Mus musculus: one gene and its partner. The protein of the gene in region 1 interacts with the protein of each later gene in a biochemical or structural test. Links are inferred from orthologs where the notes say so. Each region holds a gene or a part of one and is shown on either strand. Other genes may lie near its edges.

Region 1 (4,340 bases):
AGCCCTGGCTATCCTGGAACTCACTTTGTAGACCAGGCTGGCCTCGAACTCTGAAATCCGCCTGCCTCTGCCTCCCTTCAGTCCAGTTTTTAAAGCTGGTAACTAAGCTGAGAGATTGGCTTGAGCCCCATAAGGAAGAGCTATAAGGACTGGGCTTTTGAGGAAGGAGAAGGCCCCCAAACCCCAACATCCCTTTTGGTGTCCCCTCTCCTAGGAACCTGTCACTTCTGAATCTACTGTTCTAGGCCCCTCTCTATGACATCAGCTATGCCCCCCCCCCTTTTTTTGTGTTTCTTTGAGACAGGGTTTCTCTGTGTAGCCCTGGCTGTCCTGGAACTCACTCTGTAGAGCAGGCTGGCCTCGAACTCAGAAAACCACCTGCCACTGCTTGCCAAGTGCTGGGATTAACGGCGTGCGCCACCACCGCCCGGCATCAGCTAGGCCCGCTCTAGGGACCTTACTGACAAGAGGTATAGCCACAACTTACCTCTTCCTTATGTCTTCCGCACATTCCTCGCAGGGGTAAAACTTGGAAAATATATGTATGAACTGGGCCATATCCTGTTGTTGTTCTGGCGTGGGCCTGTCCGGGTAATAGGCGGCCAGCGTATGGAGGAAAGCCCAGGTGTGGCGACCCAATTCTTCCCGATCCTGTGGACAGTCCTCCCTAAACTTGATGTCCCGCTGCAGAAGTAGGCCGACTAAAGGTCAATTCACTCTTACCCAACCAGAAAGCCCATAAAATTCCAACCCAGTGGCAGACTGCTTGCGTTGTACGCCAGAGGCCTTCGGTTCGAATTCCCATTATCACTAATAATAATCATAATAATAATAATAAAGGAAACAAGAACGCTCCCTTTTTCAGTTGACAGCCTACTAACTCGATCTGACTAGCCAGTGGCTGAAAGCGCAAAAGTTTGAGCCTAACGGTGTGTGTGGGTGAGGGGTAAACATGTTTAGGCATAGCCAACCCTGAGGGTTTGGGCCGTGCGGTAGCCGAACGGGAACCTGGAAACCAGGTGTGTGGGGGACCGGGACCGGGCGGCCAAGCGGGGCATCTGCACCTTCTGCTGGGTCCGCATCCACGACTTGAAGTCCACGCAGGCCCGGCACGGTCGCTTCCCGTGCTCCAAACCTTGCGGCGCCGGGGCCGCGGCAGGGGTGGTGTCGTCTCTATGCCTTGCGCCGCGGCCCCGCGCGTCAGTCACCAGGTCGTCGGTCATCTCGGAGCGCGCGCCGCCCGGCAGGAAGGAGAAGCGACTGCCGCGAGGGAAGCCCGCCGGCTCGCTGGGCGCCGCCATCTTGCTGGCGTGCGGGCAGCGGGGCCAAGAGGGCGTGCCGGCGACAGTTCGGAGGAGCGTGCACGCCACCGCCGGCGCGCGGCGGCAGGAGCGGGAACCGCAGCCCGGGGCTGGGCTCAGGCCGGGGCAGGAGGCGGGGCCTGGCGGCGGGGCGGGGCTGGGGGCCGAGGCGGCGGCCCGGGTCGCGGAGGCGTAGGAGGCCTCGGGGCGGGAGGAGGCGGCGCCGGAGGCCCAGGCCGAGGCGGCACTGGCGGCTGCGGCTCCGGCTCTGCGGGTACTCTTGCGCCTGGTGACCCGCCGCGAGCCCGGCGTGCGTGGTCCATGGTGGGGTTCAGGCTTCCTCCGGCAGATGTGAAGTGTGTCGTGGAAGGCGCGCTGCGGCTGTGCTGAGATCTTGGACTGAGATGAGTTCCGAGATGCTTCTCGCATCACCCCCATCGCTTGGCTCAGACACCTAAGGGCGGCAAAATTTGGGGTCTTCCTGCCTTACGACGTGCCCACCTACACGCTTCTCGGTGCCTTAGCAACGCGCGACGGGGCGTGGCCTCACAGAGACCAGACAGTACTTATTGCCAGAGGCTACCTGTGCCCTAGTAACTGTCCCCCACTGCGCAACCTTGAGAGAGGGCGTGTCCTCATCCTCTAGCTTGGATAAAAGATTATTATGCCTATTTTAATAGCAGCCTCAGGAATTTCTTCCTTTTTTTTTTTCTTTTGGAGACAGGGTCTCATGTAACTTGGACTAACTTTGAACTCTGTATGTAGCTGAGTGAAGATGATGTTGAATTCTTGAATCTTTTTGCCACCACACCACCTCTTCAAGTGTTTGACTTAAACGCCTGTGCCATCACAGGAAGAATTCCTTCCGCTGCCTCCATGTGTTCATTTACTCTTTCTGCAAATATTTGTAGAGTGGCTGCTCTCTCCAGGTGCTGTTTCCTCCACTGAGCAGAACAAGGAACAAGCCTCCCTCTTTAGCCTTTAACCAGTGATGCAAATGCGGAAAACCCAGTACACCAGAATCATATTTACAAAACTGATGAAAGCTGTGCAGGGGGTGAGGAGACCCTTAGGCACAGGCCTTTGGGATAAGAAATCAGCTCAAATGCTTGACATTTTACAGAAACACCAGTGACGCTGGGGGCAGGGTCTAGGGAAGGTAGAGGAGATAGAGGCAGAATCCAGAGTCCGGCAAGGCCTACTTATGACCATGGTAGCAACTGGCATTTTTTTCCCTAAAAACAGAGATGTTGGGCAATTTGGGACAGTGGATTTTGTGTGTGTGTGTGTGTGTGTATTTCAAGACAGGGTTTCTTAGTGTAACCAGTCTTGACTGTCCTGGACTCTCTTTGTAGACCAGGCTGGCCTTGATCTCAGAAATCTACCTGCCTCTGCCACCCAAATGCTGGGATTAAAGGCATGTGCTACCCCACTGAGAACAGATTTTTTTAAAGAGACAGGGAGGAACCCAGAGTTGGGGGCTCCTCTGTGTGCATCTGAGAGAGGCAGTGGCTAGATAGAGTGAAGAGCATCTAAGGTTGGGAGGGGTAGACAGGGGCTGTCAACTGAGTGGTAAGAGGGGCTCACAATTCCTCACTTTTCCAGCTTCTGTCTTCTGACTTCCAACATTTCTGAAAAAAAGCCAGAAAGTTATTAAAGGTAATGCCAAGACTTAGCTAAGTAAGGAGATTGGCTTTATGACCTAGCTACTCGGGAGCCTAAGACAGTAATATTCCCAACTTTGGCAAAACCCTATCTCAAAGCAAAACAAGACAAAAACAACCAACCAAAACCAAACCAAACCAAAGCAACCAAAAAAGGACCCAGTAGTTGACTCAAGGTTGTCTGTGTCTGTAACATACTGTACTGTAGCCCAGGGTGGATTCAAAGAGCAAGCTGTTAGGCACACCCTGGAGGAGGTCACAGCAGGATGAAGAGGCAGAGGGGGCAGGTGAAGTTGAGGCGGCAGGTGCTTTGGTGGTGGAACTCCCTACAGTTTTTCTTCCCCTGACTAAGGAAGGAGAGGAGCCCCAGGTGGTTCTGTTTGAGAACAGTCTTGTACAAAGGGCCTTTTCTTCCATCTGCCCAGGCTTGCCCCTCCCCCTGGCAGTCTTCCTGTGATGAATCCTCTCTCGTTTTTTTGTGCTTCAAGAACCAGGAAACTGAACTCTTTCCTGGATTGTGAGTGCTTCGAAGGGACTCTACTTAGGGCAGTGTTGGGGAATTCCACTTCACTTCTTCCGGATGCTCGGAGCTCCTTCAAGCATCCATAGTCATGGCAAGCCCAAGACACCCAGTATCAGCCCATGCTGTAGCCTTGGTGCAAATGGACCGACTCCAGGTAGACCACACTGCCCCGTCCCTCACCCCTGCACCGATTGTCTCCAAAGATGCAAAAGGAAAACTGGCAAAGACTGAAGGAGATGTCGCCTCTACCTTTCCTCACACAGACATTTGCCTTCTCCGTGTGCTGGTCAGACAACAGTGACACATTTGTGCGGAGGAGCTGGGATGAGTTCAGGCAGCTCCAGGTAAGTTAACACTGGGACTATACTCCAGTGGGTATTGGCTCCAGTCCAGAGTCCTCTGGATACTCCATCTGTGGATGACCTCAGTCCAAGGACCTCCCCTTCTGCCTGTAGGAGCTCTTCTAGGGACCCTTCCCTCCCTAGGGGGTTCTCTCCATCTCAAAGACTAACACCTGCTCCTCCCCACCAGAAGACCCTTAAGAAAACCTTCCCAGTGGAGGCAGGCCTGCTACGGAGATCTGAACAAGTTCTTCCCAAGCTTCCTGGTCAGGCCTGTAAGGGTCATGGGATGGTAAGGGCAGTGTGCGTGAGTGGGGCCCCACAGTGTGTGCTTGTGATACCCGGGCAGATGCTCCATTGCTGACACGTCGGGGGCATACTGGTCGAGGACTGGTACGTTTGCGGCTGCTGGACACCTATGTACAGGCATTGCTGGCAACCTCAGAACACATATTGAGGAGTTCAGCACTTCACGGCTTCTTTGTACCCAAACCTCTGGATCTGGAGCCCA
Region 2 (3,648 bases), on another chromosome or scaffold:
ATTGGAGCCTCTGTTGGATGTGTGGTGATCAGACCACTTGATAGTCTGGGGAAAGATAGGTCGGAAGGACCAAACAATGTCTTCCTTCCTGGCCATTGCAAGCCTTCCAAGCCCTTGTGAAGAGGAGTTAGGCAGGAACCCTTGCTTCCCTGGAGCAGGCCCATGAGCCAGTGGTGAGCACTTGAAGAAAGCTTGACATGAGCTTATTGCAGGACACAGGACAGTCAGTTCCATGTGATCCAGTCTTTAGTTCATTATAATCCAACAGTGCAATGTCCTTTTGAACAATTATACCCAAAATCCCTAGGACTTAAACCTGCATCTGCCAGCCCCTGTCCTGAACTGTAAGCTTCATAAGGGTCACACAGTGAATTTCCATAGTGTCTCTTTAAGACCATTTCACAAGCCACATCCATGAGTGTCCCACAGAGGGTAGAGGTCCCCACCTCCTCTCCAACTCAGGGCACCCTAGGCTGGGCACCTCCTAAGACTCTGTCCTGGACCTCTCAGGGTCAGTGGGGAAGCCAGCATTGAGATTTAAGGATTGATAGAAGACCTAGGAAGTAGACTGACTCTCCACTGATGCAGGGCAATCTGTAGACTCCAGGCCTATGGGGACTCAATTGTATCCCAAGGCATGCCTATGGTGTGGGCCTACCATGAATTTACTCCCAGAGAAGTTTGGATAATGACTTCCTACTAGCTGCTGGCTAAACTCCCAGACTATATCTTTAACCGTTGACCGTGCTAGGACAGAGTCCAGGGAGTTTCTGCCCTGAGTCCAGACCCACCATCTCAAGACTCTTGTACTCTAGGTCCACCCTCAAGCAACACACACACACACACACACACACACACACACACACACACACACACAAACACACACACACACACACAATTGTTTATACAAACCCAACAAAGGCAAAAACCCACCAAGGAACATCTAGGAAACACTACCAGACAACACCAGCAAGGCCAGCATACAATGGAAATGCATCCTTTAACAAGGGCACTCAAGGATGCAGAACTCAACAACTAGAGAGTAGCCAGGTTACCAACTCAAGTGCGAGCTGAAGACTTCGTTGGAAGGGAAAGGATAGGAAGGCTATAGTCACATTTATTCTACTTGATTCATGGCACAGAACAGATCTATGTAGATATAATACAAGAGCTCACACTTGGAGCAAAACCCTCCTGAGTGTCAAGGCTGAAGTGTGAGTTGCAAACTTCTGAAGAAAAGGTTAACTCTATTGAAACTTGGCCAAGTGTCTTACCTGGACTATACTTTACCCTTACCTACAAAATGCTCGTGTAACCTCTTCACATACAGAGTAGGCTCTCAACATCCAGCTAAACATGCTTTTCAGTAGAAGAGTGTAGCCCCTATCACACCTGAAGGAAACTTGGCAATGTAAATAGTAAAAGCCCTGGTATGTGTTCAAATTGTGCATAAATAACTTTTAAACAATTTATACACAAATAGTTTTGTATAATGTAAGATGTAACAAAACTAACTAAACAAAATGTGTTACCATGGCTGCAGCTGGCATGTGTGAGGACCCACACTTGTGAGATCCCTTTGACCACTGTCTACCTTTGCAGAGGTCCCAGGCGGAGCATGCTGGCCACCAGCCATCCTCATCTATGTGTAAGAGGGTCCTGAGCACTACGGGTAGGAGGAGCCTCTTCAGGAGAGCTGGGGCGTGGGCACTTGTCCCTTAAGGAAAGTTTGGGGTAGGGGCCAGCTACTTCAAAGTGTCTCCTTTATGAAAAGGTGGTCACACGAGCCCTGGCCTATATGATAGTTTGCTGGCATCCAGAAGGCCTGGTCCAGGCCCCTCTGAAGTTTCCTCAGGATCTGAGGTAAGAGCTATCCTGCTCTCCAGTCCCCTCTCATCAGCCACTTGGAGCAAGGAAGGTCATATCTCAGATTCTCTTTGACCTTTCAGCCCAGCCTCTATTCTGATTCCTTGGCTCCAAGAATAAACCTTCCTTCAAAGGCTAAGCAGCCCTGTTTTTGTCCTCAGGGAGCAGCTACAAAGGACCCTGAATCCTTGGTGACTGTCACTGTGCAGTGCCACTTTACTGTGCCCCTGAAGGTCCCAAGAGGAACTGGCCTGTCCAGTTTTCAGACACTACTAGCTCAAGCCCTCCTTCACCAGACGCAGACAGGGCAGCTCAGGTAAGTCAGAAAGCTGTGAGCATGGGGACTCTAAGCTACGGTACAAAAGGATGGATCTGAGCTACGAGGAAGTGAGGGCTCTTCTGAACTGAAGAGAAAGACTTCTGTTGTTGTTTTGCTCTGAAGTCGTCATTTTTCAGGCCCAGGACAGGATCAAAGCTAAGGCTCCCTTAGCTCTAGGCCTAAGAATCTAGGCAGCCACTGGAAGTAAAGGCCAGGCACAGTGGAGAGCCACAGAAGTTAGTTTCCTTTAGGGAAAGACCAGGTAGTAGGTACTCCCCCTACATACTGGAGCTCACCCTCAGGACTTCCTGTGCAGTTACAAAGCCCCAGGAGAGGAGAGATCCTGGATTCCCATCTCCACGGAGGAGTCCCTGCAGAGTATATGGAGGAATGTGCCCGTGGGCCCAGGAGGGTTGCAGCTCCAGTGCCAGGTGAGCCAAGGGGAGAGACCATGATGCCTGCTGTGGGCATCCCAGACAGTTGGAAGAGAAGCCCCTCTGCTGCCCCTAAGCCTACCCTTCTGTTACAGGGGGTCTGGGGCCGGCCAGTCCTCTACCAAGTAGTAGCTCAGTACAACTATCGTGCCCAAAGACCGGAGGATTTGGACTTCCACCAAGGGGACACGGTGGATGTCCTGTGTGAAGGTAAAAGGCTGCCCTTTCCTGCCCGACACTACTGGCTTGCCCAGGCCTGGTGGGGACTCTGCTCTCTAGGGCTCAGTCTTTGTTGTAAGCATACACAGCACCCAACATGTCTCCACAGTGGACGAAGCATGGCTGGAGGGACACCGAGATGGCTGCGTTGGCATTTTCCCTAAGTGCTTTGTGGTCCCAGCTGGCGCCTATGTGGAAGCCATGCTTGTACTGGGACCCCAGCCAGGAGACCAGAACTAGCAATAAATACCATGACAAAACCAGCTTTAATTAAACAAGCAAACAAGCAAACAAAAATGATTCCCTCATTCCCAACTTGATCTATATTCTGGGATTGATGATAAAGAGAATCCAACCACAGGCTCTTGTGTGAAGAAGCTGGGCTGGCCCCAGAGCTGGACTCTGACTGTCTGGTCTAGTCTGATATAGTGAGGAAGCAGGGAGTCTCTGCTGGGCTGGCCACAGCCTTCTGAGGTGGCACTATTCCAACAGCTGCCTCTCCTGTTTCTATCCTATGGACAACATCAGTCCCCATAGCCAGTGCTATCCTGAGGGCATAAAGGAGTCAGTACTATCAGCAATTGGCCCTCCTGGCCCAATTGATGGACTGGAGTCCTTAAAGGTCAGGGGTTCATAAGGGCAGGCATCTAGGATCTGCTCAGAAGGTCCTGTGTGCCAAAGGCCTTCTTTCCTAAGAACAGTTGATGGTGGATCACAAGGTTGACAACACAAACAGCTGTGTTGTCACTGTTGACTCAACACTTCTGCTTTAGATATTGTTGACTGTGATCTACTTCAGCTTGGTTTCTA

The links. The genes of interacting proteins can lie anywhere in the genome.
Region 2: the proteins of Noxo1 (region 1) and Noxa1 form a complex in vitro, tested with the Homo sapiens proteins (2 studies listed by IntAct). The link is inferred for Mus musculus from reciprocal best matches to the Homo sapiens genes NOXO1 and NOXA1.

The regions. Positions count from the first base shown.
Region 1 is NC_000083.6:24,694,767-24,699,106, forward strand, and holds the start of Noxo1 (NADPH oxidase organizer 1), read left to right. Parts: upstream 1-1,467; 5' UTR 1,468-2,230; exon of another isoform or gene 2,231-2,358; intron 2,359-2,870; exon of another isoform or gene 2,871-2,960; intron 2,961-3,453; 5' UTR 3,454-3,576; coding exon 3,577-3,642; intron 3,643-3,750; exon of another isoform or gene 3,751-3,751; coding exon 3,752-3,832; intron 3,833-4,019; coding exon 4,020-4,095; intron 4,096-4,178; coding exon 4,179-4,340. Other genes in the region: Gfer (FAD-linked sulfhydryl oxidase ALR), read right to left, coding at 488-684, 1,065-1,301. UniProt on the Homo sapiens protein: Constitutively potentiates the superoxide-generating activity of NOX1 and NOX3 and is required for the biogenesis of otoconia/otolith, which are crystalline structures of the inner ear involved in the perception of gravity.
Region 2 is NC_000068.7:25,085,154-25,088,801, reverse strand, and holds the end of Noxa1 (NADPH oxidase activator 1), read left to right. Parts: intron 1-1,602; coding exon 1,603-1,672; intron 1,673-1,774; coding exon 1,775-1,863; intron 1,864-2,027; coding exon 2,028-2,182; intron 2,183-2,501; coding exon 2,502-2,616; intron 2,617-2,714; coding exon 2,715-2,829; intron 2,830-2,947; coding exon 2,948-3,078; 3' UTR 3,079-3,135; downstream 3,136-3,648.